Regions from separate parts of the Mus musculus genome. Here all the other regions are reported to be linked to region 3. The links are microRNA targets in miRTarBase. Many come from high-throughput screens and were not tested one by one. Region 3 holds a microRNA gene; each other region holds the end of a gene's coding sequence.

Region 1 (4,215 bases), not on the chromosome of region 3:
TGTGCAAGTATGTCCTTAAAACATAGGAAAACAGCAATGGGCATTACTAGGTGTTTCAAAAACTGAGCAAAATTTTTGTGGAAAAGAATGTCAGGCTGTTAGTGTATGGGAGGGACTTGCAGGTATGAGGAATCAAGACTGTGCACACAGTGGGTAGCAGCCTGCAAATCAGGCCTATCTTAAATATGTGTTCTTTCACCAGTTTTATTCACCTTTGCCTGTGGAACCCTCTCAGAAGCCAAGGAGACTATAATTCTAGAAACTGGAAGTCAAACAAAGGTTTTCTTCCAATTCTCAGAGTCAGTACTCATTAAATTCTAGGATAGTAGAATTGTTCAGGTAGGACAGGATGCCAGAAGGACTTAGACATTCACTTCCCTAAATAGATTTCACTGCCCCTTTCTCTAGGTGGTCAGAATGGCTTCAACATTCCACAAGTGACGCCCTGCCCAGAAGTGGGAGAGTACTTGAAGATGTCTCTGGAGGACCTGCACTCTTTGGATTCCAGAAGGATTCAAGGCTGTGCGCGCAGACTTCTTTGCGATGCATACATGTGCATGTACCAGAGTCCAACCATGAGCCTGTACAAATAACCAGGTTATCCGCAGTGGGCAGAGACAGCACAAACCTTAGTGCTGTGTCTTCCTCCAGCTTGTGGTTCTGTCCGGCACCCATTGCCGGCAATGGGTGTCTCTTTTGATGATGGCCCTTCAGCAAAGGATTCCTGTGTTTCCAAACAAATTGCTTTTGTGTTCCTGAAGTATTTAATAAGAAGCATTTTGCACTCTAGGAAGTATGTTTGTGTTGATTTTTTAAGAAGTCTAAATGGATTTATTAATATCTGACACTTTAAGTTAACTGCATTGATGATACGATATTTTTGGAAGCATACAATTTTAATTGTGACGTCTAAAACCTCTTTTAGTCCATTGAGGATGTAAATAAATATTTCTTCTTATGGACCAGGGATATGAAATCATTTTCCTTTTGTAGCTAATGATTGCCTTGAGAAAGACATAATATGATTTTATTAAGAGTCTGCCTTTACTCCAATTGTTGAAGGTGTGCTGAGTTTAATTGTTAATTTTCCTATATAGTGCTGATTTCCTGCATGTCTGTACTTTGCTGAGTTTCTGTGTTCCTGCAGCAGTGGTCAGAACATGCTGAAATTCCTTTCATGGTGTTATTTTTTATTTGTTCTAGTTTTGAGATAAATGAGTGACTCTGTCATAAAATGTCCATTTTTGATTTGTTCTTGAAGAATTAGGGTACAAAACAAGTATCGTAGTCATAGTAACAACTGTTACTGAACAGGTCTTCTGTAGGGGCTCCTAAGTATGAGACAACATGCAGTGGTTTCTGAAATGACTGAGCGATAAGTAAATTATATATTCTTTTTTTAAAAGATTTATTTTATTTATATGAGTACACTGTAGCTGTCTTCAGACACACCAGAAGAGGGCATCAGATCTTATTACAGATGGTTGTGAGCCACCATGTGGTTGCTGGGAATTGAACTCAGGACCTTTGGAAGGGCAGTCAGTGCTCTTAACTGCTGAGCTATCTCTCTAGCCCCAAATTATATATTCTTATACAGACCCACAGTCCAGAGAAAGTGAAGCTGGCTCAGAGTTAGCACCAACATTTCCCTGAAAAAATGTGTTAGGTGTTTAAAAATCTCATCGTAAATAAATTATTTTATTTTTAGTTTAAGTGAATTTCTCTTAATTTAAATAAGACTAATATTTTTGTTTGACTGAAGACCCTTGTACTCTCTGGTGTCAGTTTGGTGTCACTTGAAACAATGACAACCACGTCAGCATGTTACTGCAATGTCAGTGATGGTTTCAAAGGAGAAAATGGATGTCATCTTAGGACTGCTTGTGTGTGTATAGACCGTGGTGGATGCTGTAGAGTGCTTGTTGTCTGAGTGTTGTTTTGTGGTATGGCTGTCTCTCTGAATAATGTCAACCTTACAGAAAGAGAAGGTGTTATATGTGTAACATATGGCTTTATAAAAGATTTAATGTCAAAAGAGTCTATAAATATTGCTGTTATTTTTAAAGGCACTTTACTCCTTGGTTTTATTATTCCATTTTGCTGGCGTGTATTAGCTTTATATAAATCACAACACACAAAACTCGTCCATCTTGTAATCTTTGTACTTTTGCAATGGAAAAGTGTGTATACTGTGCACAGACTTTTATATAGCTGAGTGCCTAGACTGGGTGGAGAGGCCATGAGTAGATAGCAGTAAAGTCCTCCAGCTATAGGCTAGCCTTGTCTTCATCATCCTGGGACAGGTGAGAACGGTGAGCACAGGTGAGTCTGAGCTTGCACACTGACCAGAATTCAGTCACCCTGTAATAAGTATGTATTTAATGAGTCTGTTAGTGTGGTAGTGTGATTTTGAAAGGTTTAACTAAGGAATGGTGAGGTCTTTGTTTATAGGCAAGCCTGGCTTAACAGTGAAGGGGAGGGGGCTGAGGGAAAGCTTTTTTTTTTTTTAATTTCAGAAATGGAAGCAAAATCCATGTGCAAAGAGACTAGCTACTTGGCTTTCAGAGCAGAGGACTCAAAGCTTGTTTGCAGTGGTTCTGAAGTTGGGGTGGCACTTTGTGAGTGAGGAGGACCATGTCCACAGGCAATCCCTAAGCAAGATCGTCTCGAAATTGCACTGTGTTCTTTAGCAGTAGTGGCTGGGTAGGGGCACACAGCGGAACACCCACTTGCAGTGGCTGGGGAGGCCTGAGAAGCACAGGCCAGCGGGAGCTCTCTCCCATGCCTTCTTGTCCCTCTGGACAGCCCCTCCTCATTCCTTGTCCCAGCAGAGCCTGGTTTGCCCCTGGGGCAATAGGGTTGGACTGTGTGGTGCAGATAGCCCTCGTGCCTGTGGATTACTTTAATTTTGTAATCTTAGGTTTTCTGTACGGTTTTCCCATTGCCTTTTAAAATATTTTGAGTGTCCTTCTCCTTATCAAGATGGTAGTGTAGTAGGATTGTTTTACTCACAACATGGTTTAGGAGCCATAGCTACAAATAGGAAATATAAGAATTCTATTTCTCTACTGTGAGGCAAATCTGTATATATGTATGGAGAGTCAGGAGGATGAACAAGGGAGAGGAAAGGGGCCCAGGCACATTTTTAATCCAAAAGCTACAAAGTGTCGAGCTCCTCAGGGCCAGCTTCACAGAGAGTCCAGCTCAGTTCACAAAGTATTTTCTAAGTTGGGGAAATGCATTGAGAAACAGAGCGAGATATCTGTGTAGTGCAGCTGTGGGTGGTTGCTATGCATTTTATCCTCAGAGTAGCCTGGGGTTTTTATTTTATGTTTGCCAAGTGCTTAGGTAAATGGCCGGGCTCCTCTTACCTCTGACTTCTGGAGCGTGTCCATTCTCTGGTTGACTGAATGTGGCATTTTCATAAATCTAGGAGCAGCAGCCCTCCCAACTGCAATTTAGTAAGCAGGTAGATAAGCTTGCATCTGTTTGCATCTTCCTGCACTGAGTTGGGAGTGCAAAACCCCGTACTTGGCCTGGTGAGTAACTGCCAACAAGTATTTATGGGTCATTTGCTAGGTGGCTAGCATACGGCACGGGGCTAATGAGACCTGGGGCCTGCTCTCATATAGCTTACTGCTCAGTTTCTATACCAGAGCATCCGTTGGTGCTTCTTAGCCTAGGCATGGGTGACAGGCATGTCTGGGGACCACTTTGGGAGACAACCTAGTGTAACCTTATTGCAAAGGACTAAGAGACAAAAATCCTGGGTTCTTTCTCCATCACTTGCTCTGTAGCTGAATGAACACCACCTCGATTTCTTGAGTTTCAGTGTCTTGTTCTGTCTGATGAAAGGGTTGGATATGTAGTTGGATAAGCGGTACAAATTGTTAGGGTTCCAGGCCATGCCTGATACATCTGAGTTTTTGCTGGAGGTAGGAAATTTCAACTCAGAAGCTCATCCACAGAAAACAGTGACCAGCAGCAGGTATGGAGCCATAAGGCTGGAAGGCTTCAAAGACCCCTTCTTCTGTTACTGTTATCCACGGCAGTTATTCTGTGTAGGTGTGAAGGAGTGGCTACTGACTCTGTGTGGATCAGCGTTTACATATGACCTGATGGGAGTGCATCTGGTATGTGTTCCTCCCCCCTGTATTGCTGGAGAGATTGGCAATCGTAGGTATACACGGAAGTGTCGGGATGTTCAGTGGCGCG
Region 2 (4,215 bases), not on the chromosome of region 3:
TGAAGGGGGAGGGTTGTGTGTACCTTTTATTTGAATTAATGGCTATTATCTGTTGGCAGTCACTTTCTGTCTGCTTAAGAATAATTGGTTACTGTTGGTGACTGCCTTGACATCCTAACAGGCCTGACACATCCTGAGACTGGCCTGTTGCTCATTCACCTGGGTGTTTTCAAGGTCATAGAGGCTTGTTTGCCAGAACACAAGGAACAGGGATAGATGTGAGAAACTGCCTTGTTTCTGACGGAAGCATTGACCTTAGCAACACATTTTTATTAGGAACGTTCCATATCGCATCCGAGTACGCTTGTCCAGAAAACGTAATGAGGATGAGGATTCCCCAAACAAGCTCTACACGCTGGTAACTTACGTGCCTGTTACCACATTCAAAAGTAAGTATCCCAGCGTTCCGCAGGAGTTATTGTATGTGAGATGATGTGTGTCTTAACTATGTTCAGTGAAGAGGTAAGCAGCAGGTTAAATTATCAGATGTTCCTTAAAAACTAACTGGCTGGGGGAAGATAGTACAGAGGTTGCTGGGAAGGGCGGCACAGGCCATGGGTTGTGCAGTGGCCTCCAGCTGGGGCAGGATGCGTGGGTGCTGACTGGCTGTTACTCTCCTTCCAGATCTACAGACGGTCAACGTGGATGAGAACTAACCTGCTCGTGTCAAATAAAGTTGCAGAACTGCCTTCAGGGTTTGGTTTTCCTTTCTGTTGTCTGCCTCATGGGTGGAATTTTTGGGTCTACAGGGTGTTGGAAATTAATCTGAGAATCTCTGTTCTGGGTACATGGGAAATTAGAAATACGTGAAACATTCTTTTCACAGAAGTCACTTTATTAGGATTGTGGATTTGGGTTGGTTTTGAAACAGGGTTTCTTGTGGCACTGCTTGTTCTATAGAATAGGGTGGCCTTGAACTCAGAAATCCACCTGCCTTTTCCTCCCTAGTATTGGCAATTAAATGCCCAGCTTGTTTGTAAGCTCTCATTTTCAGTTCCAGGTTTATGTGTGAGCCTAAGATTAGGTAAAGATTGAGGTTATAACTTAAACGTACTGAATTAACTTATGTTGTGTGGGTCCCAGGAATTGGACCTGGGACATCAACTCTGCCTTTCCAGCCATCTTTGCCAACCAGTAGCTCATCTCTGGGATGTGTCTGCCCTCAAAATGACATTTTAAAAAAGTCAGTACAAAAGAACGATTTTTATTAAAAACCTTGAGGACAAACATTAAAGGCATGGTTTGAACATGTTTTTGTAAGGGCATATAAAGTGAATACGAGATATATTAAATGGTTTCAATTACCAGCATTGAAACAAAATTAGTGCAAAAAAAAGCCAAATACAGTTGTACAGGCAATGGTTCTGGGATCTCTTGTTTCTGACCAGTGGAAACATGAGCCTGGGGTTGGTGTCTCTTAGTTACGGTGGCATCTTTTTCTTCATCAAAGGGCAGACTCACTATCAGGATCACAACAGAAACACTGGTCTCAGCAAAGTTGATAGTCACAGTGTATGTAAACAGGGCGTCCCACCACTCACCTGTCCTCTTAATAAATAGAAATGCGTCAGACCTGCAGCTGTGACTGAGGTGGTGGAGCTCCCTGGTTGTAGGCTGACAGCTCTTGCTTTGGTGTGGTCGGCTCCAGTGTGTTCTCCAGCAGCTCAGGGCCTACAGGTCATTGAGCTTCAGTTCTGCCTGTGGTGGGTGGCTCATTTCCAAAACTTTGAGACTGTACTGATTGAGCTTGGCGTTTTCAAGTTTGGATTTAATGTTGAGTGGCTTTTCAAAAAAATTCACCAGTGACTGCTCAGTGAGAAGGGATGCCAAAATATGTTCAAGGGACACAGTCCAGTCCCCTTCAGTCTCGGGGAAGGCCTGGGGACTCTTTCCAGCCTCAGCAAAAACTGAGTCCTGTTCGGGAGGAGCCGAGGCCTGCGGCTCCTCACATTCTTGGGAGCAGCTTCCTGAACTGCTACCTCGCTGGCCCACTTCTCCAATCTGCAGTAGCAGAGTGGTTACTGTGGCAATGGCTTGATACAGGTCATTTTCCTCTGGATCTTCATGGAACATACTGTACAGAGTTTTACAGAACTGGATAAATTCTCTCTAGAATTAAAAGAAGGCCACAGACAACAAACAGCATGAGGGTGGAGATATGTTACACTATCAGAAAAGTGTATGCTGCTTAATCTTTGTGCCATGGGAAACAGTTCTGAGACTGTTATAATCCATGATCTTCCTGCCTCTCCAGTAAACACTGGGTGATAGTTGTGTCCCACAAGCAGCATATTTAGAAAGGGTTTTTTGTTTGTTTGGTTTTGGTTTTTCGAAACGGTTTTTCTGTGTAGCCCTGGCTGTACTGGAACTCACTTTGTAGACCAGGCTGGCCTTGAACTCAGAAATCTGCCTGCCTCTGCCTCCCAAGTGCTGGGATTAAAGGCTTGCGCCACCTTCTAGCCCAAGCATTTTGATCAAGAGGGTTTCCGTGCTAACTTTGGGTGGTAAATGTCAGCTCATGAGATGCAGGCCTTGAGGATAGTAAAAACTGGGCATGTAGCTTAGGAGTGCTTCCCAGTGCTTAGGAGACCCGTAGGTAGAGTGGAGAGAAAAAAGTGCCACACTGTTCAGTGGTTTAGGTGAAACGCCCACAACTTTTATGGCAGCAAAAGAATAAGCTAATACTTGACAGGAACTTTAAAAATTGTACAGATAGTTCTGGGTGACATAACTATCAACACATGTGAAAGCCTGGGAAGACCAGGAACTATACCTGGCTTCATGTTCAGACTGAGTTGAAGGTCGAAGGACACCTGTTGGCCTTCATGCCTTGACCACACATAGTTTTTAAGTCACTGAAGTCACACAGGACCACTCGCAATTTCTCATGCATTAGCAAGAAGAGCCTTTTCACACGAAACCTGTTTCCCTGTGGCACTTGTGTAGCACTAACGAGGTCAGAGGTGTGGGAGGCTGCCTTGTTTGCAGCCTCCTGTTACAAAGAGGTGACTGGAACACAGCAGTGTTGTGGGAAGTCAAGATGCCATACCTGACTCATTTTGGGCAACTCTTTCTCCATTTTATCCTTTTCTTTGGCTAAATCCTTAATCATCTGTTTCAGCTGTTTCTGATAGTCAATTGTGTCACCTTGGCAAAGGGAAACAACAGTTTAAATTCTATGAAAATTAAAATTGGGATAGTAAGAGAACAGGATGCCACACTAAGCAAATTGCATATAAAACCAAGAGGTTACTTTTTTTTACAACTGACTATCTGTCAGACTTCTAGGGCCTTCCTGGTAAAAGAGGACCCTAGAAAAGGATGAAAGCTGCAGAGAACTGGGAAGCCGCACTGGTAAGGGAGAGGGATAGGTTGCTAAGAGCCAGTAGTGGAAACATGCTCACCATTGGGTTTGCCCAGGACCAGGGGTCTTGAAGTTGACAACAGAGGATTCTTCAATGGTGACTGGCTATCTCTGTCATTTTCAGTGAGTGCTTAAAAGGAAAATGCTTAAATTGGACACAATTGTAAAGTTTACACGTGTAAAGCTAAATGCTTTATGGACCCACACATATCTCAAATTCATACACAGACACAGCTGATAGCTGACCTGAAAAAAAAATACTTGCAGTTCACAGTGAGCACAGTGTGTTTAGATGTGTAAATTGGTAGGATTGAAACTCTTCACAAAGCCCTGGCTGTCCTAGAATTCCACCAGATTCTGGCATGCCTTGCTCTTTTCCTCTCAGAAATAGCCTCCCTGGCTCTGTCTGTGTTCTTGCTCCTTTTCTACCATATCTCATCCCTGCGTCCATCTCATTTCCACATCTACCCCTCACTATATACAGTATTGTCATTTCTGTCCTGCGATCATCTGTGATGCTAGGCTTTATCTGATCAGGTAGGACTGTACACTCATTAGGAGAGAAGGGCAGGTATCCTGCCCCTTCCACAGGTCTGTGGGCAGTTACGGTTGCTAGGTGCAGAAGAAACATTTTCTTAATGGTCAGGTGTCTTGCTTCTGTAGAGCTGTGGTCGCTTGGTCACCAGAAGAAAAGGCAACGGGTTGAGGGTGATGGGAATATTATCACATATATGGTACACATGTATGATACACATTTGTTTAATGTGTTAAAACTTAAAATATCTTAATAGATCCTAAGTGCTTCACGCTTTCTGGCAAAAGATGATGAGAGATTTAATTAAGCACACAGA
Region 3 (4,215 bases):
GTGCCCTACAACCCTCCTGTTGTCGCTATATGCTGAACGCCACCCGGGCACGAAGCAGTTAACGCCCTTGCAGCGAGCTGGCAGAGCCGGCTGCCCGGCTTATTAGTCAGCCGGCGGGGAGGGGGCGGAGGGAAGGAGGGAGGAGGGAGGGAGGGGTTCAGTGGAGAGCCGCAGAAAGCTATTCTCAGGGGCTCCCGTGTGTGGGGAGGGCGGCTCAGCGGGAACTGCCGCTTCCCAGAAAGTTGATTATTTTTAACCCAGGAAGAAGAAAGGAAGGAGGCCCAGGGAGGACTCAGAGAAGACGAGGAAAAGAGAGGAGAGGAGAGAAAAAGAGGAGAGGAGAGGCGAGAACAAGGAGAGGAGAGGAGAGAGAGGAGAGGAGAGGAGAGGAGAGGAGAGGAGAGGAGAGGAGAGGAGAGGAGAGGAGAGGAGAGGAGAGGAGAGGAGAGGAGAGGAGAGGGATAGATATTTGGAGGGAAAGGACAGGCAGGGCAGGGAGGAAGGAAGATGAGGCTTAGATATCCCACAGCAAGGGTTGGGGAACGCTCTGGGCCAATTCTGGAGGAGGAATAGATGTGGGGTACCCACCCCTGCTGGACCTACCATCCTCCTGTCCTTGTGGACTGGCCTAGTTGCATGGGGGCTTGAGGGAGGAACTGGGCACAAGGCAGTTCCAGCTCCTGGGAGTGCTCTCAGGTCAGTGGGCAGCACAATGGCACAGCCTTGTTCTGGCCTTCACGGTGACTCCTGGGAGTCTGCATGGAGGCCCTGGGAAAGAGGACAAAGAGGTTGCCTTGGTGCTTGGGCCGAGAGGGATTCACTTACGGGGGGGGGGGGGGGGGGGGTGTGGGCCCAAGTCACTTCTCCTACCTCTAGGTGGTGTCAGGCTGGGAAGGCACCTCAGAAGCAGGAGCTGGGTTCACAGAGTGAGACAAGCCAGAGACAGCTGGCCCACAGGGCTCGCAGGCGTGGCGAGCCATAAAAAATGCATTGGGTGCCCCCAAGAAGGCTGAAATATCAGGGACTTAGGCAGACTGGCTGTGTGTGTGATCTCAGCAGGGGTCAGAAGTGTCCTAGAGAAGGGTGCATGAGGATCTACTGGGATGACTAACTCAACTAATGCGAAGCCAGGGAAGACAGGACTGGCAGTCTTCAGGCCTCAGATCCAAGTGGTCTATCAATTCCTGCCTCTGGAAGGTTTGGCAGGCTTTTATGGAGCAGAGAGAACAGGTCTCCAAAGCTCCCAGAGGCTAGGAACTGGGGGCTGAACTCAAGCTTGGTTTGTGCCATGGTGGAAGACCAGCCTAGTGCAGATGCGGGAGGAATCAGAAAGCTGTCTGGGCTGGCTATGTGACAGGGAGGGCTGGTGCTGTTCAGGAGGCAGGGGACAACTCACAGGAGCAGGCTGGCAGCTTCGCATATTTGAGGGTCTGGTAGAGATGGCTCAGAGCGCCAGGTGAAAGGAAGACCCAGTGGGGAGGGCTGAGGGAGCTGCAGTGGCATTGCAGAATATGCTAGAATCCTGGTGGACCGGCTGATCCCGGTGGGTCTGCAGTATAGGCAGGGGAATCAGGTTTGTTATGGTAATGGTGCAGAGGGAGAGAGGAGGGTTCTGTTCCTATAATTGAGTACTGGGAGACACAGCAGACAAGACAGTGTGTGGCCAGCAGGGCTGAGCCTCGGGCAGGCCAGGCCGATGCCTGGAGCCTGGGAAGGTCCTGGGGACAGATCAAGAGGCCTCGGGTGTGATGTAAGGGCAGGTATGCATGTTTCTTGCTCTGAGGGCCTTGTCTCTAATTGAGAAGGATTGAGAGGGACCCAGCTACCCCTACCCAGTCACTCTGGAGCCCTGACCAGCTTCAGGCCTTTCCCCAGCAGTAGGTTGGGACTGCTCATTACCTCCACAGGATGTAGAAGGTGCCCACCCACCAAGTCACTCCCCACCCGGCCCCCAACCCCAACTGCTGGCAAGAGGAGAGCAGAGTTGAGCACACAGTAGGTCCTTTCCATGAGCCTAAGCTAGTGGGTAGAGTTAGAGCTACAGACTGGGCTGAGAGCAGAGCCCCTGCCCAGATGCCCTGGAACAGGGAGATAAGGGGAACAGCTGGTGGCTTGCAACTGAGTTCAGGGACAGCGTGTCTCAGTTTCTCTGTCTGAGCATCTGCTGATCCTGAGCTGTGTTTTTAGCTGCAGAAACCCAGGGCCTTGAGGCTCCACCCCTACACTCTGAGCACCACTGCTGCCAACGCCAAGGGGGTCTCGGGAATGGCAACTGAGAGGAGGGGGAAGGTTCTAGGACACATATGGAATCCAAAGTGCTCATCTTCCAGCTCTGAAGGGCCTGCCACGGCTAATAACAGTCTTCCAGCCAGGCAGTGATGGCACACACCTTTAATCCCAGCACTCAAGAGGCAGAGGCAGGAGGGTCTCTATGAGTTCAAGGTCAGCCTGGTTTACAGAGTTAGTTCCAAGACAGCCAGGGCTGCACAGAGAAACCCTGTCCTGGCGGGGGAGGGTGGGCTTCCCATCAAAGCTATGCTGGCCCTGCCCTCTCACCTCCTCCCAAGGGTGAGAAGAATAAGGCCCAGATCTAAAGGACAGACCTGAAGCCACCCCACGGCTGACTGTGTTCTCTGAGCCCCCACCCCTAACCCTATCTACAAAGTGCCTGGCTCCTTGGAAGCAGAGGAGGGTAGGTGTCAGGCTGTCATTCCGTGACCCAAGGCTCCCCATCAGTATGACAAGGGTGTAGGCTAGAGCCCTCTAAAGTGGACAAGACCCAGACTTCCCAGCATCCACTCTGAGAAGCCTAGCTCAGAAGAGTTGGCCAGGGCCCCAGAGCTGCACCTCCTGCTCTGTCCCCATCAGGCATCTCTGAGCTGTGAGGAGCTGTCCCCTCAACAGTGCCTGTGGAACACAAAGAGGGGGGGAGCCCAAGCAGAGAAAGAGCCGCGGGCTGCAGGCGGGCAGGCAGGCTCAGAGCGGCTCTGCTCCGCTTTCTTCTTCCTCCCTCTCTCTTTGTTAAGCTCCTTTTCAGCTGCACAGGCAGAGCCTGGGTGTTCCGAGCTGACAATAATTGCTGCGTCTAGACAGTGTCTGGTAGGAGGCCTCCTTCTCTGTGCCTGCCGGCCTCCCCGAGGCTCCCAGGCCTGGCCCACAGCCCCTGCCCGGCACCCTCAGAGGGTTCCCACACCCCTGCCTCTCTGTGGATGCCATGCCCACCCCCCACCCCCCAGTCTTTCTGCCTCCTAATTCAGTTGGGAGTACAGCTCTGTCCTCCTACCCTTGGGTCCAAAGGCACCCCAGTCTGTTCTATTTTGTGGCCTAAAGTTCAGAAACAAGACACTGTCCAAGAAGCACTGGTAATGCCAGAGGCCTCTGAAGGAGCCAGAGCTCAGCGTAAGGCAGGTGGCTGTGCTGCATAGGCCAGGGAAGCTGCCTTGCTGGGTGAGCTAAGCCTGGACCCTCAGGGTTCAATTCTAAAATTTGATCTAGGTTCTTCTAGAGTTTTCCAACCCAAAGCCCAACAAAAAGACACAGGAATCAGTGTAAGGAAGACCAAGCATTTCCCAGACCACTTTAGGCTGATGGGGATCCGTGTTTTCAGGAGGCTGGGGAAGGAGAACAAGAAACAAACATTAGGAGTTCTGAGATCTGTGCTCAACTCAGCCCTGAAGCTCTGGAAAATTCCCCAGAGTCTCCTAGAGGGTGTTGGGGCAGGCACTCAGGGTGCCACAGACAGCAACAATAACAACCAGAATCTGCTCAGCCCTGGCCCGCTCTGAGCGCAGAGCAGAGCCGACTCTGCTTGCATCTTAATGTGCTTAACCCCCTCTAGGAGAGGGCCCTGGGAGACAAGGGGAGCTGGAAAAATCCAAACGAGCCTCTGATTAAGACCTTTTTTTGTTTTTATTTTTATTTTGTCTTTTGTGAGTGAGGGGGTGGTACGTACCTGTTCGTGTGGGGGTTTGCATGTAGGAGGGTCCGTGTGCACAGATGCAAGCCTGTGGAAGCCAGAGACAGAGGTCAGAGTCTTCCTCTATCACGCTCAGCGTGTGTTTGAGAAAGGGCCTCTCATTCAACCCAGAGCTCACTAATTCAGCTAGGCTGGCCAGCAAGCTCCCGGGATCTGCTTGTCTGCCTCCCCAGCCCCAGGGGTAATAGATACCACTGCAGCTGGCTTTTAAGTGGGTGTTGGGAATCAAACTCAGATCT
Region 4 (4,215 bases), not on the chromosome of region 3:
GGGAGCCTTTTCTCTGTGTACTCCTTTTCTGCATAAGGCCTGCTTTGCTGAGCTGGAAGAGGCTAGGGAGTCACTGCCTTTGTGGCACCAGACCCCAGCTCTGCAGAAACTGCCTCACCTGGGTCCCATTCCCAGGACACTGTGGCTAGCGGCTGCCATCTGTGAAGATCACACTGCACAGTCAAGCTACATACTGTGTTTTAAGAAGTGTGCACTTGGTGCTGGGCATTCATAACTGTACTGGAGACCTGCAGCCCATGTGTCACAGGACTGCTGGGGCTGGTGGCCTTGGGACACCAGGTCACACCTCCACGGTTAGGCACACAGCAGGAGCATAGCTTCTCACCTCAGGGTCACTAAAGATAAAGCCAGCCCTGGGCTTAGCAGCTTCCTAGCCTCAGCTCATCCTTTGCAGCGTGGGGTGAATCATGATCCCTCACAGGTAGCCTGCTGTCTCTCTCCACAGGTGGAAGGCTACGCGGTGGGCTGTGAGTGTTCCCCATGTGGTGACCTGCTGGTGACAGGCAGCGCTGATGGCCGGGTTTTGATGTTCAGTTTCCGCACGGCCAGCCGAGCGTGCACACTACAAGGGCACACGCAGGCCTGCCTTGGCACCACCTACCATCCTGTGCTGCCTTCTGTCCTCGGGACCTGCTCCTGGGGAGGAGACATCAAGATCTGGCACTAACTGGCAACTGAGACCCTGCCCCTGGGTAGGCGGCCGGAGGTTAGGCTGCTCCCGAGAGCTGCTGGGCTTCAGTGACTCGGCTATAGCATGGGGGTGAGAAGCCGTCTCGGCGCAAGCGTGTGTTAGTAAAGGTGTTTGCCGAGTGACTGGTGGGTGACACGCAATCAGTAAGCGTGTGCTCTGTATGGTTTGGTTGGTTGATTGGTCTTTTACTTGTTTGTTTGTTTTGTTTCTGGTTTTTCAAGACAGGGTTTCTCTGTGTAGCCCTGGTGGTCCTGGAACTCAGGCTGGCCTTGAACTCAGGGACCCACCTGCCTCTGCCTCCTGAGTGCTGAGATGAAAGGTGTGTGCCACCACGCCTGGTGTGGTTTTTCTTAATGTGATTTTGGCAATGAACACATATTAGCAGTGTCTTCCTGCCTTCTTACTGCAGATAGGGGAGCTTGAGATGGGACTGTCACCTGCTGGTCCTTCGGACAGTGAGGCTCTGGGGCTTGTGACTGCCCAGGAGCTCAGTGCACCTCAGCGCCCCCCACCACCACCCCACTATAAGACACCAACAACTGTGTTTCTTCCTACCCACCTCTGGTCCTCTAACTTGCTGCCTGCCCACTGCCAGGTGGGTGGTCTGTGGTGGGCAAAGCTATGCATCTGTCCTGAAGGAGTGCGAGGAGAAGCAGGGACTCAGAAGCACATAGAAGGAAGTGTGGCATGTAGGGAGTGGAACTGTTGGAAAGGATGACGAGGATTAGGAGGCGTGGCCTTGTGGGAGGAAGTGTGTCACTGGGGGTGGGCTTTGAGGTTTCAGAAGCTCACACCAGGTCCAGTGGATCTCTCTCCACCTTCAGATGAGGATGTAGAACTCTTAGCTACTGCTCCAGCGCCATGCCCGCACTCTGCCATGCTTCCTCCCACCATGATGATAATCTGAATGATGAACCTCTGAAACTGTAAACCCGCTTCAATTAAATGCTTTTTAAAATAAGACTTGCCGTGGTCATGGTGTTTCTTCACAGCAGTAGAACAGGGACGAAGACAGGAAGCCTAGCTCCCTAGGGGCCTGGAGCAGGCCTATGAGTCTCAAACACTATCAGACTTGTGACTAGGATGCCCGACGGCCCAGGGACTCACTCACAGGTTGGGGTGGGTATCGTGGTACTTAAAAGAGGTAGGGAGGGGAGGGGGGGGGAGGAGGAAGGAGGGGAGGAGGTCTGGGATGTGGCAGAGTGGTGTATGGCTTCACCCCTAACCCATTCTGCGATCTGGTCCCGGGCATGACCTGCCCCTTCCCTCCCTGCCCCAGCTCTTCATCTGTGAGGTCAGGGAAGCAGCCTGCGTGTGTGTTGGGATCTGGAAGAGTGTTGGTCATACTGAGTCTTAGGGCCAGAAGTGGCCCAGGGATGCTGTGTTAGGATATTTATTTTAGTGTCCAAGGCATTGAAGGGTACCACCATCTGGGGAAGCAGGTCAGGGCCTTGGGTTGGGCCTTGCCCCAAGGCTCCTGTGTCCTTGCTGCCACAATAGGCCAGTCCCCTCCTCCCCCGGCTGATGGCTGCCTCCTCTGTGCTCAGGTGCCACGGGGCCAATGTGCTTGTCACCCTGAGGACAAGCTACTGTCTCTTCCCCACGAGCATACAGGGAGATGCTCATTCAGGGAGCCACAGGGGTGTAACTCCTTCTCCCTCAAGCAGCATGTCCCACCCTGTGCTGTCCTGTGTGACACTCGGCAAGATCCCTGGGCAGGACTTTGTGTCCCGCCATGTCCCTGGAACATAACTGTCCAACGAATGACTTCTGCTGGGACCCAGGCTTTAGAACCAGTCAGGCACAGATCTGAAGTCTGCCTGAAGTATTGCATGACTTTGGGCAAGCTTTGTGGTTTACTCAGTGTCTCAGTCCCCCTAACCCCCACAACCCCCCTGGAGAGTAGCACGGGGCCCATGTTCATTGGGTCTTCGGGTTACTTGGATCTGTGTGGCTACCTTGTGATACTGAGCCTGTTCAGGCTGGGTACCTGGCCAGATTCGCTCTAGGCTTTGCTGTGGTGGGCCACGGGCTGGTGGGACCCTCTCCTACTGTTGACTCTTGCTTTCAGGGTCTTAGCACGGGCCAGATTTAATCTCGGTAGAGGCTGCTGGCAGGAGCTGCCTCCTTCCTTCCCACTTGAAAAACCTCATGGTGAGCTTCAGAGTGGCTGCCGTCTGCCTCATACTAGACTAGGACTCCTTGCCCAGGAAGATGGAGAGCTATGATCAGTAGCTCTCACCGTGAACCAGAGGACTGATGTGATCCTCAAAGAACTCAGGGCCCCTCGTAGCATCTTCATGAGTGTCTCCCCGAGTGCAGGCCTGAATGAGTGAGAATACAGAAGCAGGGGGGCCAGCCTTCTCCAGCCTCTCCCGCTGGCTGTCCCTCCCACTCCTGCGGCTGCCATCCAGGGTTTCTACCGTCCCCAGGATATCTTCTACCGCCTGCAGTGATCGGCTCTGCTCACTAGGCTTTCCCAGAAGGGCTAGCAGGTAGCTATCTATAGAGGGGTTCTCTGTCTACCTCTGTACCCAGCCCTCTCCTGCCAGTGTCCCTGGGACAACAGGACCATAGAGCCCTGATTAGACTCTGGGCCTACCTCCTGGTGGTATAGGATTGGCTTCTTACATGAGAAAGCTTTTGCTTTCTCATGTACACAGTGAGCCTGTTGGGACAGTGAGGGTAGGGAAAGAGCTCTTCCGACTGTCTCCTGGATGGTGCTGCCAGGATAGACGGATACCAGGATAGACAGATCTGAATCTCTATGCTGACTCAGGTCCAGGGGAACAGTCATGGCTTTCTAGTGGTCCCATTGTGGTTGCTTCCTGGTGCCATCCCTAGGGTCTGGTTTCTTTCTGCAGGGGTTGGTGCATTGTGCCCCTGTATCTACCCCTAGCTGGCTTCCTGGGCAGGAGGACAGGCATGCGTGTCCCATGTTTCCCTGCTTCTTCAAATGCCTCTTCCAAAGAACATTCAGCAAGACTGACTTTGATCCTAGCCGAGGTGCCGGGGAGTTCACCATTTGCAATTTAAAAATAGGCAAAGCTAAATTTGGCAAGCACGGAGAAAGATGAACCTGGAGTGTGGGTTCTCCCTCCACCCGCCCTCCCCGGCCCAACTCACCCCATCCCACTTTCACATCTGCAATCTGCAGCATCAAAGCAGAGGGATCCTGGGAGCAGAGCTGCCTTGTCTAGAGATGCCTGTACACGTTGGACCCACTCCTGTCTTGCTCTCCGAGTCAGGTTGTGACTTTCATCTGAGTTGTACTAACACACATCCCCCGACCCCCACCCCCACCCCCGCAGGGTGGCCATGGCCCTCCGTGTCTTGCTGAGGAGGCTCCTTCTTAAAGGGCACAGAGGCATGGCAGGACCACCTGTCCCTGAAGCCTGCATCCTTGATTCCTTTCACTGTCTCCCAAATGGCTCTCCATACTCCACCAACCCAGCTGGACTCCATACAGGAGGTTGCCAACCATCTAGAAGGCCCAGGAAAGG
Region 5 (4,174 bases), not on the chromosome of region 3:
AGTGGTGCATGTCTTTAATCCCAGCTTTCAGGGATATCTCTCAAAGTTCTAGGCCAGCCAGAGCTGCAGAGTCTCAAAAGAAAGAAAAAAAAAAAAAAGGCCCATCAGATCAGTAATGGTAGTGGTGGTGGCACAAGCCTTTAGTCCCAGGATTCAGGAGGCAGAGGCAAGTGGATCTCTGCATTCAAGGCTAGCCTGGTCTACAGAGTGAGTTCCATGACAACCCAGGACTAAACCCTGTCTTGACACCCTCCGCACCCCCAAAAAAGTTATTTTCAGAGCTAAAAGCTATACATTTCTCATCATGTTCACTTTGTATTTTACATCACAGGGTTAGACAGACTGGTATGTCTTGTCACGGGAGCACCCAGCATCAGAGATGTCATAGCCTTCCCTAAATCCTACCGAGGACAGGACCTTATGAGCAATGCTCCAGACTCCGTGTCTCCAGAAGAGCTGAAGCCTTACCATATCCACGTCTTGTGGCCAGCAGACTCAGAAGAGGAGAGTGCATCCGCCACACCTTCCAAACACTTGAGCTCTTAACTTTTGTCTTCTCTGCTTCACCAAACTTAAATTAAGATCCAGACCTGCCACAGACTTTAGAACCAAATGTCTGTGTAGAAGCAATCATTACCGAGTAAGAAAGAGAAGCTACACAATTGTGACTTGGTCATGTGTACCATTAGGACTGTCTGTGGAAGTTTTTTAATTGGAAAATTGTCAAATGAAACAAACAAACAAAAAAATCTCTTTATTGAGTATTTAGAGTCTTCCTGTTTTCCAAGCATGTTTCTATACCCAGATAAGTTATTTAGAATAAGGATAATACAACATGGTTGCCTCTGTACACTGGCCAGTTAATGCAGCAAGGTTTCAGTTCATCTAGCCTCATTAGAACCATAAATTAAACTTTGTGGTAATCTTTCAGCCATCAATATAATGTTCTAAGTAGTATAGTAGGATCAAAAAAAAAAATTACAAGTAACAGAATTCTATTGTGTTGTACCTTAAGCAAGCTACAAATGTCTCTTAGCTGCCCCAGCTGCTTATATAATGTGAATGACACTTGTCCTGGCTGTCTCACAGATCTCTTGTTGCCAGAATCATGAGGTTACATTTGTGGCAGATATGTGATTTGAAATACTGTAAAACAGGACTGAAATGCAGCTGTCCTAACCACTGTTCTATTGCTGTGAGGAGACACCACAACCAAAGCAACTCTTTATAAAGCATTTAGTTGGTGCTGGTTTATAGTTTTAGCTGTAAGCATGGTGGCAAACACAGACATGATATAGAAGTAGCTGAGAGTTCTACATCCTGACCTGCTGTTGCTGGAAGACTGGGCCTGGCACAGAATTATTTGCTTTCTTATGGCTTTTCAAGACAGTTTTCCTGGCATGGGCTCTTTTTTATGGTTTTTTTTTGTTTGCCTGTTTTCGAGACAGGGTTTTTCTGTGTAGCCCTGACTGTCCTGGAACTCACTCTGTAGACCAGACTGGCCTTGAACTCAAATCCGCCTGCCTCTGCCTCCTAAGTGCTGGGATTAGCATGTGCCACCACTGCCTGTGGTTCTTGTTTATGGTTTTTCAAGACAGGATTACTCTCTGTAGCCCTGAAACTTGCTTACTTAAAGGCTTTCAAAAATCAGTTTCTCTGTGTAGCCCTGCATGTCCTGAACTCTTTCCTGTAGACCAAGCTGGCCTCAAACTTCTGGGGATCTGCTGCTTCTGCCTCCCTGGTGCTGGGACTAAAGGCATGGGTTCTTGACAGTTTTAAAGCCTCCAGTCACAAACCTAATCCTTTCTAAAAAATGTCACTCTAGTAGTAAACATTCAAATGAGTTTATCAGCACCCCCTCCCACCCCTAACATCTATTCCTTCTCTGAAAGGGGAAACCACTCCCCTTAACACCCTAAGGCTTCTCTGCCCCCTATCCCCTACACACAAACTCACTGCAGGACTAGGCGATTCCTCGGAGGATGGCAAAGCAGCTGAGACCTGGAAGGACAGTTGTACACAGCTCAGTGGTTCAATCACCAGTATCATACACAATCTAAAGGCCTAATGAGGCAGTGCTAAGGGTGCTGAAGTGGAAGGAGGCAGATGACTCCCTACTTGATCAGAGGCTGGTAGATCTGAGCTAAGGGCGTGACTGTAGAGATCCAGTGAATGAAACCCTGACCTTGTGTTCTGGAAGAAGGAACCATGGGTGTCTTAAAACAGACCAGTAACTCCCAGCTGGTCCTAGTAAGCACAGACCTTTGATCCTAGGCAGATCCAAGTTTGAGACCAGCCTGATCTACATGGAAATCCCATCAAGGCAACCTGCCTCCAAGAGACCAGCCAGGCAAGATGACTGGATAGCTGGATTCCACATTGTGAAAGGAAGACTTGTGTAGGTCATCCTGACCTCTTCACATGCATTACCATACAAATGGACCACTAACAGTAAAGGTATGTGACTAGCATGTGAAAAATTTAAATCCTCACAACCCAAGAATGTGATGGAATTTAAATCCATTTCAGTAAGACTATGTGTAGAATATAAATCACCAAATGAGATGTTTAGCTATGTGTTCCAGGGTAACTGTTGAGCATTGAAACACTGCCCCCATTCCCAGGGACTAAAGCTTGTAGAGGTACAGCTCCAAATACCTACACATTTTGCCTGGAACCAGTGTTCTAAGGACCCCTGACCAGTTACCTATACTATCTACAGCCAAAGGACTAAACAAAATAGCCTCAACTTTTCCTTTGGGGCCACCACACCCAGCACGAATCCCAAACTGTACTTGTTAGATTAAGGATTGTAGTTTCCGTGGTCTCAAGAACTGAGCCCAACAGACCAGAGTGAACAGTATCAAACCTAAGAGCCAATTAGCCTCAGTGTTCCTCCTAATTTAGGAATGCTGAGTTAGGCCTGGTGGTATATATAACTGCAAAAGTCCTAGGCATGGGGACAACACTTTAACAGGACTGCAAGGTCTAGGCTTTTACCTTCCAGGTTTATACTTCAAATTTTCCCTCACACCTGTGCCCCTACAGGCCATCTCCAGACCTTTAAAGGGCTGGTATACCCACTCAGACTGCATAACTGATTAGACATTCAGGATGTAAGACTCAGCAGACACTGTCACCTGCCAAAAGTGAAAATACCACCTCCACCAGTCAGTCCAGTTCTGGTTAACGCTGTTCCTATTAATTTAAAATGTCAAACAGAATAATGGCTTGAGGCTGGTGAGATGGCTCAGTGTGTAAGAGCACACTTCTCTTTTGGTTCATCTTAGATTGTGTTGAGAAAGGAAAGAGAAAAAAAAACTATTTCCAGGCAAACTGATTTGTGACTGTACTCCCCTTTGCATACTCCATGAAATATTTAGTTTTATAAGATATAAGAAAAGTGTTCTAGGGCTGGAGAGATGTACTAACTGCTCTTCCGAAGGTCCAGAGTTCAAATCCCAGCAACCACATGGTGGCTCACAACCATTTGTAACAAGATCTGATGCCCTCTTCTGGAGTGTCTGAAGACAGCTACAGTGTACTTACATATAATAAATAAAAAAATCTTAAAAAAAAATAATGGCTTGTGCTTATAAGCACAAAAAGACAAACTATACTGACACCAATACCATCCAGTCACTGGGCAGCTAATAGATTTAAAAATGTCTAATGTGAACTCCCCACAATGTGCTCATCAGAACAAAATGCACACTTCACAGTTCATGTTATAATACACTTTAATGGTAAAATTTTAACACAATATATCTGACACCATCTTCTATTTGAGCCTCCATCCAGGCACCTGCAACAACCAACAGAAGGTAGCTGTTAAACACTTTTCTACAATTTTAACTTAAATGGTAACTGTTAAAACACAGAACATCAGATCTTTTACTATCATCAAGTAATCAGTGAGAGAGTTCAAGTTGTGTGAGATCATCATGTATTCTGGAGTAGGTTCCCGGTTAAGCATTTGCAGTTCTCACCTCAGAAACAAAGGTGCAGTCACTGCATGTCCACTTGTCACAGGAGCCCTAAGAAAACAAAGACTGACTTACTTCTCTGGCTTAGAGTAGTTAAATTTTACATGTTAGTATAGTAACCTCAGAAATAAAATGGAACGGTTTAAAGGTGATATCACTTTGTATCATTTGGCAGAATCATCACATCA
Region 6 (4,199 bases), not on the chromosome of region 3:
GGGGCTGCGCTCAGATTGTCCAGCTTAGCAGCAAGGGGCATTACCAGTGTGCTGCCGCATCAGGCAATGCCAGTATCATTTCCTGAGCATTTCTTGTATAATACTGAACGTTTGCTTATTTCAGCTGTTTCTCTAGAAAACATTCTGTTCTAAAATTAGTGGAATGGAGTTTATGAACATAAATTTTTTTGTGTTTTTCATTTTTAGGGAGGCAGCAAGAGAATGTCGTAGAAAGAAGAAAGAATATGTGAAATGTTTAGAGAACAGAGTGGCAGTGCTTGAAAACCAAAACAAAACATTGATTGAGGAGCTAAAAGCACTTAAGGACCTTTACTGCCACAAATCAGATTAATTTGGGATTTAAGTTCTCTCCTGTTACGGTGGAGAATGGACTGGCTTGGCCACAACCAGAAAGACAAGTAAACATTTATTTTCTAAACATTTCTTTTTTTCTATGCGCAAAACTGCCTGAAAGCAACTACAGAATTTCATTCATTTCTGCTTTTGCATTAAACTGTGAATGTTCCAAAAACTACTTCCACTTCTGCCCTCAAGAAATGTGCAGCGCCAGGAATCATGAAGAGACTTCTGCCCTCCGTCTCCACCACCCTCAAGAAGTAATCATTTGCTTATTTGTAAATTGTTGGGGGAAATGAGGAAAATGAAATCTTGGCTTTCTTATTTTTGTTTTAGGTTTGTTTTGTTTGTTTTCTTATTAATGACTTCAAGGTTTGTTGAGCTCCATGATTGCCTTAGGGACAGTTACCCAGCCTGCTGAGCTGACGTAATGTGTGGGCCACACAGGAAAGTAAGGAAGGTGCAATGAAGAAGTGTTGACTGCCAAATTAATGTTTTTACACTTTCATTGTGAATTATGTCGAACTATTAAAAACATCCTTTAAATAAGGATATTAGTGTGGTGTTGGGAGTAAACTTTATATGTATGTTCCTTTCTTCAGCACTGACAAGTTGTCCTTGGTGCTGAGAAGCACGGTATTGGCTACAGTTCCTCTGTAGGGCAGTTGTTGCTTCTTCATTCAGTTCTGTGTGTTCAGCAGTTTGAATACATTAACAGAAGTAACCAACTGAATGGAAAGCATGGTTTTGAATTTTGAGTTAAGTTAAAATCATACTATAAAGCTTATTCTGGTGAGTACTAAGTCTTAATGAGTAGGTGCTGGCCAGGAAGCTAACTCCTTGAGTTATACAATAAGGTGTTTAATAAATAAAGACTTTTGTCCTTGCTTTCCGAATCCTCATACTGTCACTCATTTACCTAGTCCACTGCTGCATTTACACTGTGCAGCCAACAGGAGCGTTTTCAAGATGTCCAGCCAAAGTGATGGAAAGTACTAAATAGACAACCTTTTCTATAGTCATATTTTTATCAGAGAATCTCTTGGGATTTTTTTTTTTAAATCAAAGAAGTTACAAGGATGTGATTCTAAAACATTGTGTTAAATGCACACAAGAAAAGTAATTTCCTTCAGACATTGGAGTGTGTGCTATGGTACAATATTTGGCAAACACTTTTTTTTTTCTCCTAAAAAAGGTGGTACTGCTTTAACTATCCAAAAGCTGTTCTGTTTCTGAAGATGTTTCTACTTACATCCTTACCTATAGTCTACATTTATGTGTAACATTGTTTCTGATAAGACTTAGTAATAACTCATTTTTTTTTTATTAAACCTAATAAAATCTAAGAGTTACCTCTTTAAAAGACAAATATGAGGACAGTGGAGGCTGGCATGTTAGGTTACTTCACGTTTGAGGAAGAACTCAGACTCAGAAGAGTGTCTTATATTTGCTTTGGGATATTAAGAAAGTTAATATTAATATCAGTATACGTATGAGCGGGAACTGTTTGGCCCATTTCTAAGCTAAGACTAGGTTGCTATCTGTAAATGTTCTACGTTGTTTATAACAAACCATTGTCTTTTTTCAAGGATGAACAGTTTGTGAAGGACATGATTCTAGGAGTTGAGTGATGTAATAATCCTTCTGTCTGGACAGTTCACCAGATTCTCCAGAAGGCTTTCAAACGGCTAAAGTTTGATCTTTGTCCTGCTGAGCTTGCTGGGAAGGAGATAGCATAAAAGCTGTCTGTGCTAGCAAGTAGATGTATCATTTGCTAAACGTGGTGAAACAAAAAGGAAGCAGAATCACAAATCTGTCAACAAACTGGAATTACTTCACATTAAGTCAGAATGTCAGATTGAACATTTTAAATGTCACAAGTGGAAAATTTGCCTAGCGTGCAGAAGTTGTAATCTCTAAGTGTCTATCTTCAAAAGTCGAGGTTTTCTACATAATGAGGAAACAGGTGGTCTCCTTAACCCTTTAGAGACCAAGGCAGTCTCAGCCATACTTCCTAGTTGGATGGATATTAATTTACAGAGGCCTGGGTCTTTATGCTTGGAGCATGACTGTACTAGTTTGACACCAGTTACTTGATAATGTGAGAAATATATGGTGTTGTGAAACCTGACTTTGAAATTTCAGTTCATACAGAAAGAAATCAAAGCCTCTTTAATGCAAGCTGGATTTTTTTTTTAACATGAGAATGAGAAAAACAAAAACAAAAACTTGTTTTTGAGCTATGTGGAGAATCTTTATTAAGAAAATGACATAATTTTTTAAAAACTCTTATATCCAAAATTGTATGTGGCCACATTATCGGTAATGTTTTCTCTTCATGTTGGCCAAAAGGGAATGGAACTGTCATAGGAATCTGTACATATGCTACTGATTTGCCTAGAGAATAGAAGTTTGGTACTGCTCACTTTGCATATATATAGTGGCACTTTTATCTATAGGGCAGATTAACTCTAATAAAAATGAAATGGGGATAGGTTTATTTTTGATATATTACTCTTCTGAGTTTTCAAGCTTTGATAGTGTTTAACTGAAAAATGGTTTAGAAAGGGCTAGATCCAATATGTTCATATTTAAAAAATTGATATGAGATACAATTTAAGTTCTTTATCAAAAGCAAGTACCATATTAGCAACCATCATATTGTCCTAGGTGCTGTGCTTGTTTAGATGGTATAGTGTGGGTGGGGACGTGGCATTTTGTAATATATGTGTACATATATACATACATACAGTATATCATCTAAATGCTCTGAGAGCTGGTATGTCAGGAATGCTGAGTATTATAGCGTATTGAGGTCCGGTGAGATTCCACTTTGCTGTGCTTTCTCCTGCATCTCTTCTGGTGTTTCAGTGACTGTTTTACTCCAGCACTCACAACTGGGTTTTCTCTTTTCTTCCAGTTTTTTATTAGGTTTTTGTTTTGTTTGGCTTGATGCTTTTGAGTATGTTACCAGTCACTTAAAAACTCCTAAACCCCAAGCTCTTTTCCCCCTGCTTTGTTTCTGGCAGCTATAAAATTGGTAAGAACATTTTGAAAAAAGGTTTTAAGAGAATTGTTTCAAGAATCATTTTGGGCAAAGACTTTTCATGTTTCATTTGAACAGGGATTTTTGTCAAGATGTGTTTTGATGGTAGGCCAGCAAGCAGTGCTACTGTCTAAAGCACAAACCAGTCAGGCAGGCTGTCCAGCCAGAAGCCCTCTTGGCTGAAGCCGGTCTCTGCCTCTCAGGACTCCTCCCTACTATTTTCGACCATTTAGGGTGACATGGAATCATACAAATATTGGGGCTTAGAAACAAACATTTATATAACCCGGAATGCTTTTACGTACTTGAAGTGACTTCAGTCAAAATGTTGCCTTTCCTGTTTAGGAAGCTTTGGTTCTCTGTTGACTCGTCAGCTAGTAACACAAATCGGTTTCTCTACCAATAGCTGCTTCATTTTCAGTTCCTTCCAGAGGCTTTTGTTCTGCCTTTGTAACACTGAAACTCTGGATTGGCACAGCATCCCGGGGCCCAGTACACAGGCTGTATGTTGACTTGAGGTTGTATTTACAGTAGTTCTTTGTAAAGGTTTGCTGTAACTTGCACTTTTTTTTAAGGACCCAGTTTGGGTATCAGCAACTTGGGAAATTCCTTATCAATGAGTTCTCAGCTGACCCTTTTGTCTTCCTCCTTCAAATCATGACTCCTTAATGGAAGCGTTTCATTGATCACAGTATCATAGCTAGCCTTAAGCATGTTATAAAAGCTAAATATCTGGGAATTAGGTTTGACTAATAGTGAAGGAAAAATAAGTACTTATAATTTTAAATTTCATCCT
Region 7 (4,215 bases), not on the chromosome of region 3:
AGTTATGAACGGGTGGATGAAATCATCTGGGTGAAGACTAATCAGCTGCAGCGCATCATTAGGACGGGCCGGACGGGTCACTGGTTAAACCACGGGAAGGAACACTGCTTGGTGAGGAACAGGAGGAAGAGGGGGAGCTGCTTAGGAGACTGAAGGCTGTGGTTGTGTAAACAGTGTTCTCTGTGATGAGCAGGTTGGTGTTAAGGGAAATCCTCAAGGATTCAACCAGGGCCTGGACTGCGATGTGATTGTAGCTGAGGTATGTGTCCCCTGTGCATCTAAAGCTTTCAGACTTTCACTCAATACTCCTGTCAGTCTCCATTTTTTTTTTTTTTTTTTCCTCATTTGGGTAACACAGACCAGACTAGAATTGCAATCTTGAGTAACTTTTTAAAAATTTATTTTTATTTCATGTGTATCAGTATTTTGCCTGCATGTATGTCTTTTTGAGGGTGTCATGAGCTGTAGGTCTTGGGAATTGAAGCCAGGTCCTCTGGAAAAACAACCAGTGCTCATAACTGTGAGCCATTTCTCTATCTATTAAGCAATCTTGAATAACTTAAAGTAGCTTGAGTTTTTATTTTCTAGGTTCGTTCCACCAGTCATAAACCAGATGAAATATATGGCATGATTGAGAGACTGTCCCCTGGCACCCGCAAGATTGAGTTATTTGGACGACCACACAATGTGCAGCCCAACTGGTAACATTAAGAGAACAGGCTCTTGCCTCCCTACCTCCTGCCCGTCCCTCCCCCAAAAAACCCTTTATGGACAAAGACAGATGTCACTGAGTTGTATACATTCTGGTAGTCTAGATGGCTTAAGCTTTACCAGAATCTACAACATTCATTAGAACCCAAAGGGCTGTTCTTAAAGCTCTAACTGCCCAAGGATCGTCAGCTATTCTGTGGGCTATATTAAATCTGCCCCCTAGTGGCTACTAAGTATTTATTCAATCTGTCAGTTTTAATGTTTGATGCCAATGGTGAGCATTTTAATTATCCAAGGACTATTCACTAGCAGTGACTGAATGAAGTAGGCCTGGCTACCATCAATTACTAATCCTTAGATAGACAGATCCGGCTGGATCTTGGGGCATGAGACTGAAGCAGGAGGATTGCAAGCTTAAGGCCTGCCAATGCTTATTTAGAGGTCTCAAAAGGGGAGGGGGGCTGGTAGTGTTAAGAGTTTAAGAGTGTATATGTAAGGTGCCTAGGTTCAACTCTTAGGACCACCAAAGAAATTAAAATCCAATCAGTTTTTGTATTGACACTGCCATATTATTTGCTCTGATCTTTTTAAAAGTTGATGTAGGCCGGGCGTGGTGGCGCATGCCTTTAATCCCAGCACTCAGGAGGCATAGGCAGGTGGATTTCTGAAGCCAGCCTGGTCTACAAAGTGAGTTCCAGGTCAGCCGGGGCTATACAAAGAAACCCTGTCTCAAAAACCAAACCAAACCAAACCAAAAAAATTGACGTGGACTGGGCATAGTAGAGCACACCTTTAGCCTCAGCACTTGGGAGGCAGAGGCAAGTAGATCTCTGAGTTCAAGGTTAGCCTGGTCTACATGGAGAGTTAGTTCCAGGACAGCCTGAGATAGGTATCACCAGAAAGTAGAACATTTTAAGTATTAAGCCCTTACAGGATTTTTGGTTTGCCTCTTCTTTCCCCCTTGTTTTAGGATTACTCTTGGAAACCAACTGGATGGGATACACCTACTAGACCCAGATGTGGTTGCCAGGTTTAAGCAAAGGTATCCGGACGGCATCATCTCTAAACCTAAGAATTTATAGACGCACTTCCTTACAAAGCTAAGCGTTCAGAGCCATGGGCTACAGGCCACACCTTAAGAGGACTGTTTACGCAATAGTGTCCCCTACCCTGTATATAAATAAATAAAAGTTTGTATTATAATTGGAATTTCTGAAGTGAAATTATGGCTTTCCACTTAGTGTGTGTCCTTGTGCTACTCTTATTTAGCGTGATTCATTATAAGTAAAAGAAGAATGTTAGCTACCTAGCGTGTTAGAAAAGACTACACAGGTTCACAGTGCTTAGCAATTAATATGCTATAAACAGGATTAATTTGAATTTTACCATGCATATGGTACTCTAAACTTTTGCTTATTCTATGTACGTTTGCTGGTTTATTAGTCTGTAGCTAATTTCTAAGAAAAACAAGGTACCTTCAATTAAAATTAGAGCTTAGAATATAAAAAATTGGCCTATGCATTATGTAAATGAATGCACATTTAAAAGATGTTTCATCAAACACAGATTCTTTACTTTGTAAAACCTCTTATTAGGGGTATAGAGTTCTGCTTCTTACATGCAAAACTGGTAACCAAGTCAGGTAAAGAAATACTTGTACAGAAAAAGATCGTTTTGGATGATGTCGTTTCCCCTCTAGCCCAATGTGCTAAGACTGAGACAAACAGAATTTGTGTGTTTTTGTCAGGAGCAGGGAGGGGGACCTTAAGATAGGATCTCACTAGGTAATCCTGGCTAACTTCAAGCTCAGAGATCCAACCTGCCTCTTGCCTCCTAAGTTGTAGGATTAAAGGGGAGTGCCACCACACCCGGTCTATTTTTTGAGACAAAGTCTGATTTAAGTTCAGATCAAAAATCTTCCTGTCTACTTCCAAAGTATTAGGATTAAAGGCACGGGCCACCATGTTCTGTAAAACCTTTACCTCATGCATCTTAGACTGTTCTCAAACTCACTAGTGGGCCAAGGATGACCTTGAACTCCTGATCTTCCAGCCTGGGGTCTGAACTCAGAGCTTTATAGTGCTAAGCCATAACCCCAGGCCTTCAAACCTTCCTCCTAATAGCACTGTGTATATCAATAATAGTTCCCTTTTAAAGGGCTATCACACATTTTATTTTAAATCAGTATTTTCATTCCTCCTTCACTTGGGATTTAAACCCAGTGCACTTTACCACTGAGCTGAAACCCTAAGTCTCTCTTCTCCCAGAGCTTTTTCTGCCGAGAACAAAGCAAAGCACTCGCCCAATGACATTCTAGGCAAGTTGTCTGACCGTTTTACTGGTATGTTTCTTCTAATGACCCCTATGATTTGCTCCCATCACTCTTCCCTGTGCTTGCTAGTAAGCTGGTAATTTTGCTTACAGTTGAGAGTAAAAAGCAATTCTAAATTACAGTGAATTTGCTGGCCCTGCTACATAGTCTGGCCTCTGCTGAAGAAAGAAAAGGGAGATGGAGGCATGAAGGACTATGGGTAAAGGTCAGGCACTACAGAAGCCCAGTTTGTGTTTAAAAAACAGGCTTTTGGCCGGGCGGTGGTGGCGCACGCCTTTAATCCCAGCACTTGGGAGGCAGAGCAGGTGGATTTCTGAGTTCGAGGCCAGCCTGGTCTACAAAATGAGTTCCAGGACAGCCAGGGCTACATAGAGAAACCCTGTCTGGAAAACCAACAAAACAAAACAAAAAAACAGGCTTTTGGACTCGTGTTCAGCAGATGAATCTTCAAGGCTTGGAGAAGACGAAGGCTACTTCACAAACACCACAGAGTTTGGATTTCTAGAGGCCACCCAGGCCAAGAATACATCCCTAAGAGAGAAAGATACATACAAACTTATTATAGCAAAACCATACCCAAATATTTCCCTACATCTCCAAAGTATAACATCATCAAGTAGCCTAAAAGTCAGATGTGGTAGACTGTGCCAATCCACCTCGTAGAGGACACATATGCCCTTTCACGGATATAGGTAATTCCCTGGGATATTTTGGTAGAAGGGCAAAGTTTTCACTTACTACTCACCTTCTCTACACTTAGCATTTACTCTGCTACTTTCCCCCTTACCTATCCCTCACCAAATTCTTTGACACTGGTAATTGAAATCAGGACCTTACCCATGCCAGGCAAGCAGTTGTCAGTTGAGCTACATCCTCATCTCTAAGCAATTGAACATCTAGGAGCATCTCTAATCAGATACCTACCCACCCACACATGTCAAGTGGCTCTGCCTAATAAGGTCATGCTCAGTCCACACGGGTACGGGTACCATGCTCCCCAACAGTTTCACTTCACTACCTCTTGATTTATAAGGACTGTTAAACTCACCTGCAGTGCTTCACCACACACTCATTGCTGCAGTACTCGTTGTCCCAGTCCTTACTGACAACAGGAGGGTTCTCACAACCAGACCTCACACATCGAGGCTGAGGTGACAGTGCCACAGGGGAGC

The links. Region 3 holds the annotated microRNA mmu-miR-3089-5p (UGAGUUCAGGGACAGCGUGUCU, at 2,120-2,141, shown strand). A microRNA usually pairs through its seed, bases 2 to 8, with sites in the 3' UTR of a target mRNA and lowers its output. Matches are read on the target gene's strand: a 7mer-m8 pairs with bases 2 to 8, a 7mer-A1 pairs with bases 2 to 7 and ends in A, and an 8mer does both.
Region 1: miRTarBase lists Cyld as a target of mmu-miR-3089-5p. Seed matches in the 3' UTR shown: 8mer at 1,514-1,521.
Region 2: miRTarBase lists Rpl31 as a target of mmu-miR-3089-5p. Seed matches in the 3' UTR shown: 8mer at 914-921.
Region 4: the mRNA of Wdr25 is a reported target of mmu-miR-3089-5p. Seed matches in the 3' UTR shown: 7mer-A1 at 967-973 and 8mer at 983-990.
Region 5: the mRNA of Dars2 is a reported target of mmu-miR-3089-5p. Seed matches in the 3' UTR shown: 7mer-A1 at 1,478-1,484 and 8mer at 1,506-1,513.
Region 6: the mRNA of Creb1 is a reported target of mmu-miR-3089-5p. Seed matches in the 3' UTR shown: 7mer-A1 at 1,776-1,782.
Region 7: the mRNA of Tox4 is a reported target of mmu-miR-3089-5p. Seed matches in the 3' UTR shown: 7mer-A1 at 3,387-3,393, 7mer-A1 at 3,358-3,364, 8mer at 1,543-1,550 and 7mer-A1 at 1,400-1,406.

Annotation. Positions count from the first base shown.
Region 1 is chr8:88,746,421-88,750,635 of GRCm38, forward strand. Cyld (CYLD lysine 63 deubiquitinase) reads left to right here. Exons shown (of 17, transcript NM_173369.3): 17 at 409-4,215. The coding sequence ends at 593. Among named protein-coding and RNA genes, the nearest start is that of Cyld, 52 kb to the left of the region's middle.
Region 2 is chr1:39,370,678-39,374,892 of GRCm38, forward strand. It overlaps Rpl31 (ribosomal protein L31), which reads left to right. Exons shown (of 4, transcript NM_001252218.1): 3 at 277-389; 4 at 625-1,234. The coding sequence ends at 656. It overlaps Tbc1d8 (TBC1 domain family, member 8), which reads right to left. Exons shown (of 20, transcript NM_018775.4): 18 at 3,405-3,494; 19 at 3,050-3,147; 20 at 818-2,109. The coding sequence ends at 1,672. Among named protein-coding and RNA genes, the nearest start is that of Rpl31, 4.9 kb to the left of the region's middle.
Region 3 is chr2:30,719,103-30,723,317 of GRCm38, forward strand. It overlaps Mir3089 (microRNA 3089), which reads left to right and starts at 2,108; the gene lies at 2,108-2,191. Gm14488 (a long non-coding RNA gene) reads right to left here and starts at 2,085. Exons shown (of 4, transcript XR_866106.3): 1 at 871-2,085; 2 at 604-768. Gm39782 (a long non-coding RNA gene) reads right to left here. Exons shown (of 3, transcript XR_866107.2): 2 at 3,953-4,004; 3 at 2,461-3,611.
Region 4 is chr12:109,026,780-109,030,994 of GRCm38, forward strand. It overlaps Wdr25 (WD repeat domain 25), which reads left to right. Exons shown (of 7, transcript NM_177602.3): 7 at 467-1,673. The coding sequence ends at 688. Among named protein-coding and RNA genes, the nearest start is that of Gm52002, 17 kb to the right of the region's middle.
Region 5 is chr1:161,038,088-161,042,261 of GRCm38, reverse strand. It overlaps Dars2 (aspartyl-tRNA synthetase 2 (mitochondrial)), which reads left to right. Exons shown (of 17, transcript NM_172644.4): 17 at 332-1,661. The coding sequence ends at 546. It overlaps Gas5 (growth arrest specific 5), which reads right to left. Exons shown (of 11, transcript NR_166052.1): 10 at 3,990-4,037; 11 at 3,723-3,805. LOC115487640 (a small nucleolar RNA gene) reads right to left here and starts at 3,954; the gene lies at 3,879-3,954. Snord47 (small nucleolar RNA, C/D box 47) reads right to left here and starts at 4,170; the gene lies at 4,106-4,170.
Region 6 is chr1:64,597,027-64,601,225 of GRCm38, forward strand. It overlaps Creb1 (cAMP responsive element binding protein 1), which reads left to right. Exons shown (of 9, transcript NM_009952.2): 9 at 208-4,199. The coding sequence ends at 352. Among named protein-coding and RNA genes, the nearest start is that of Mettl21a, 19 kb to the right of the region's middle.
Region 7 is chr14:52,292,560-52,296,774 of GRCm38, reverse strand. It overlaps Tox4 (TOX high mobility group box family member 4), which reads right to left. Exons shown (of 10, transcript NM_023434.3): 9 at 4,092-4,215; 10 at 1,266-3,574. The coding sequence ends at 3,514. It overlaps Mettl3 (methyltransferase like 3), which reads left to right. Exons shown (of 11, transcript NM_019721.2): 8 at 3-111; 9 at 194-259; 10 at 589-701; 11 at 1,682-1,934. The coding sequence ends at 1,793. Among named protein-coding and RNA genes, the nearest start is that of Mettl3, 10 kb to the left of the region's middle.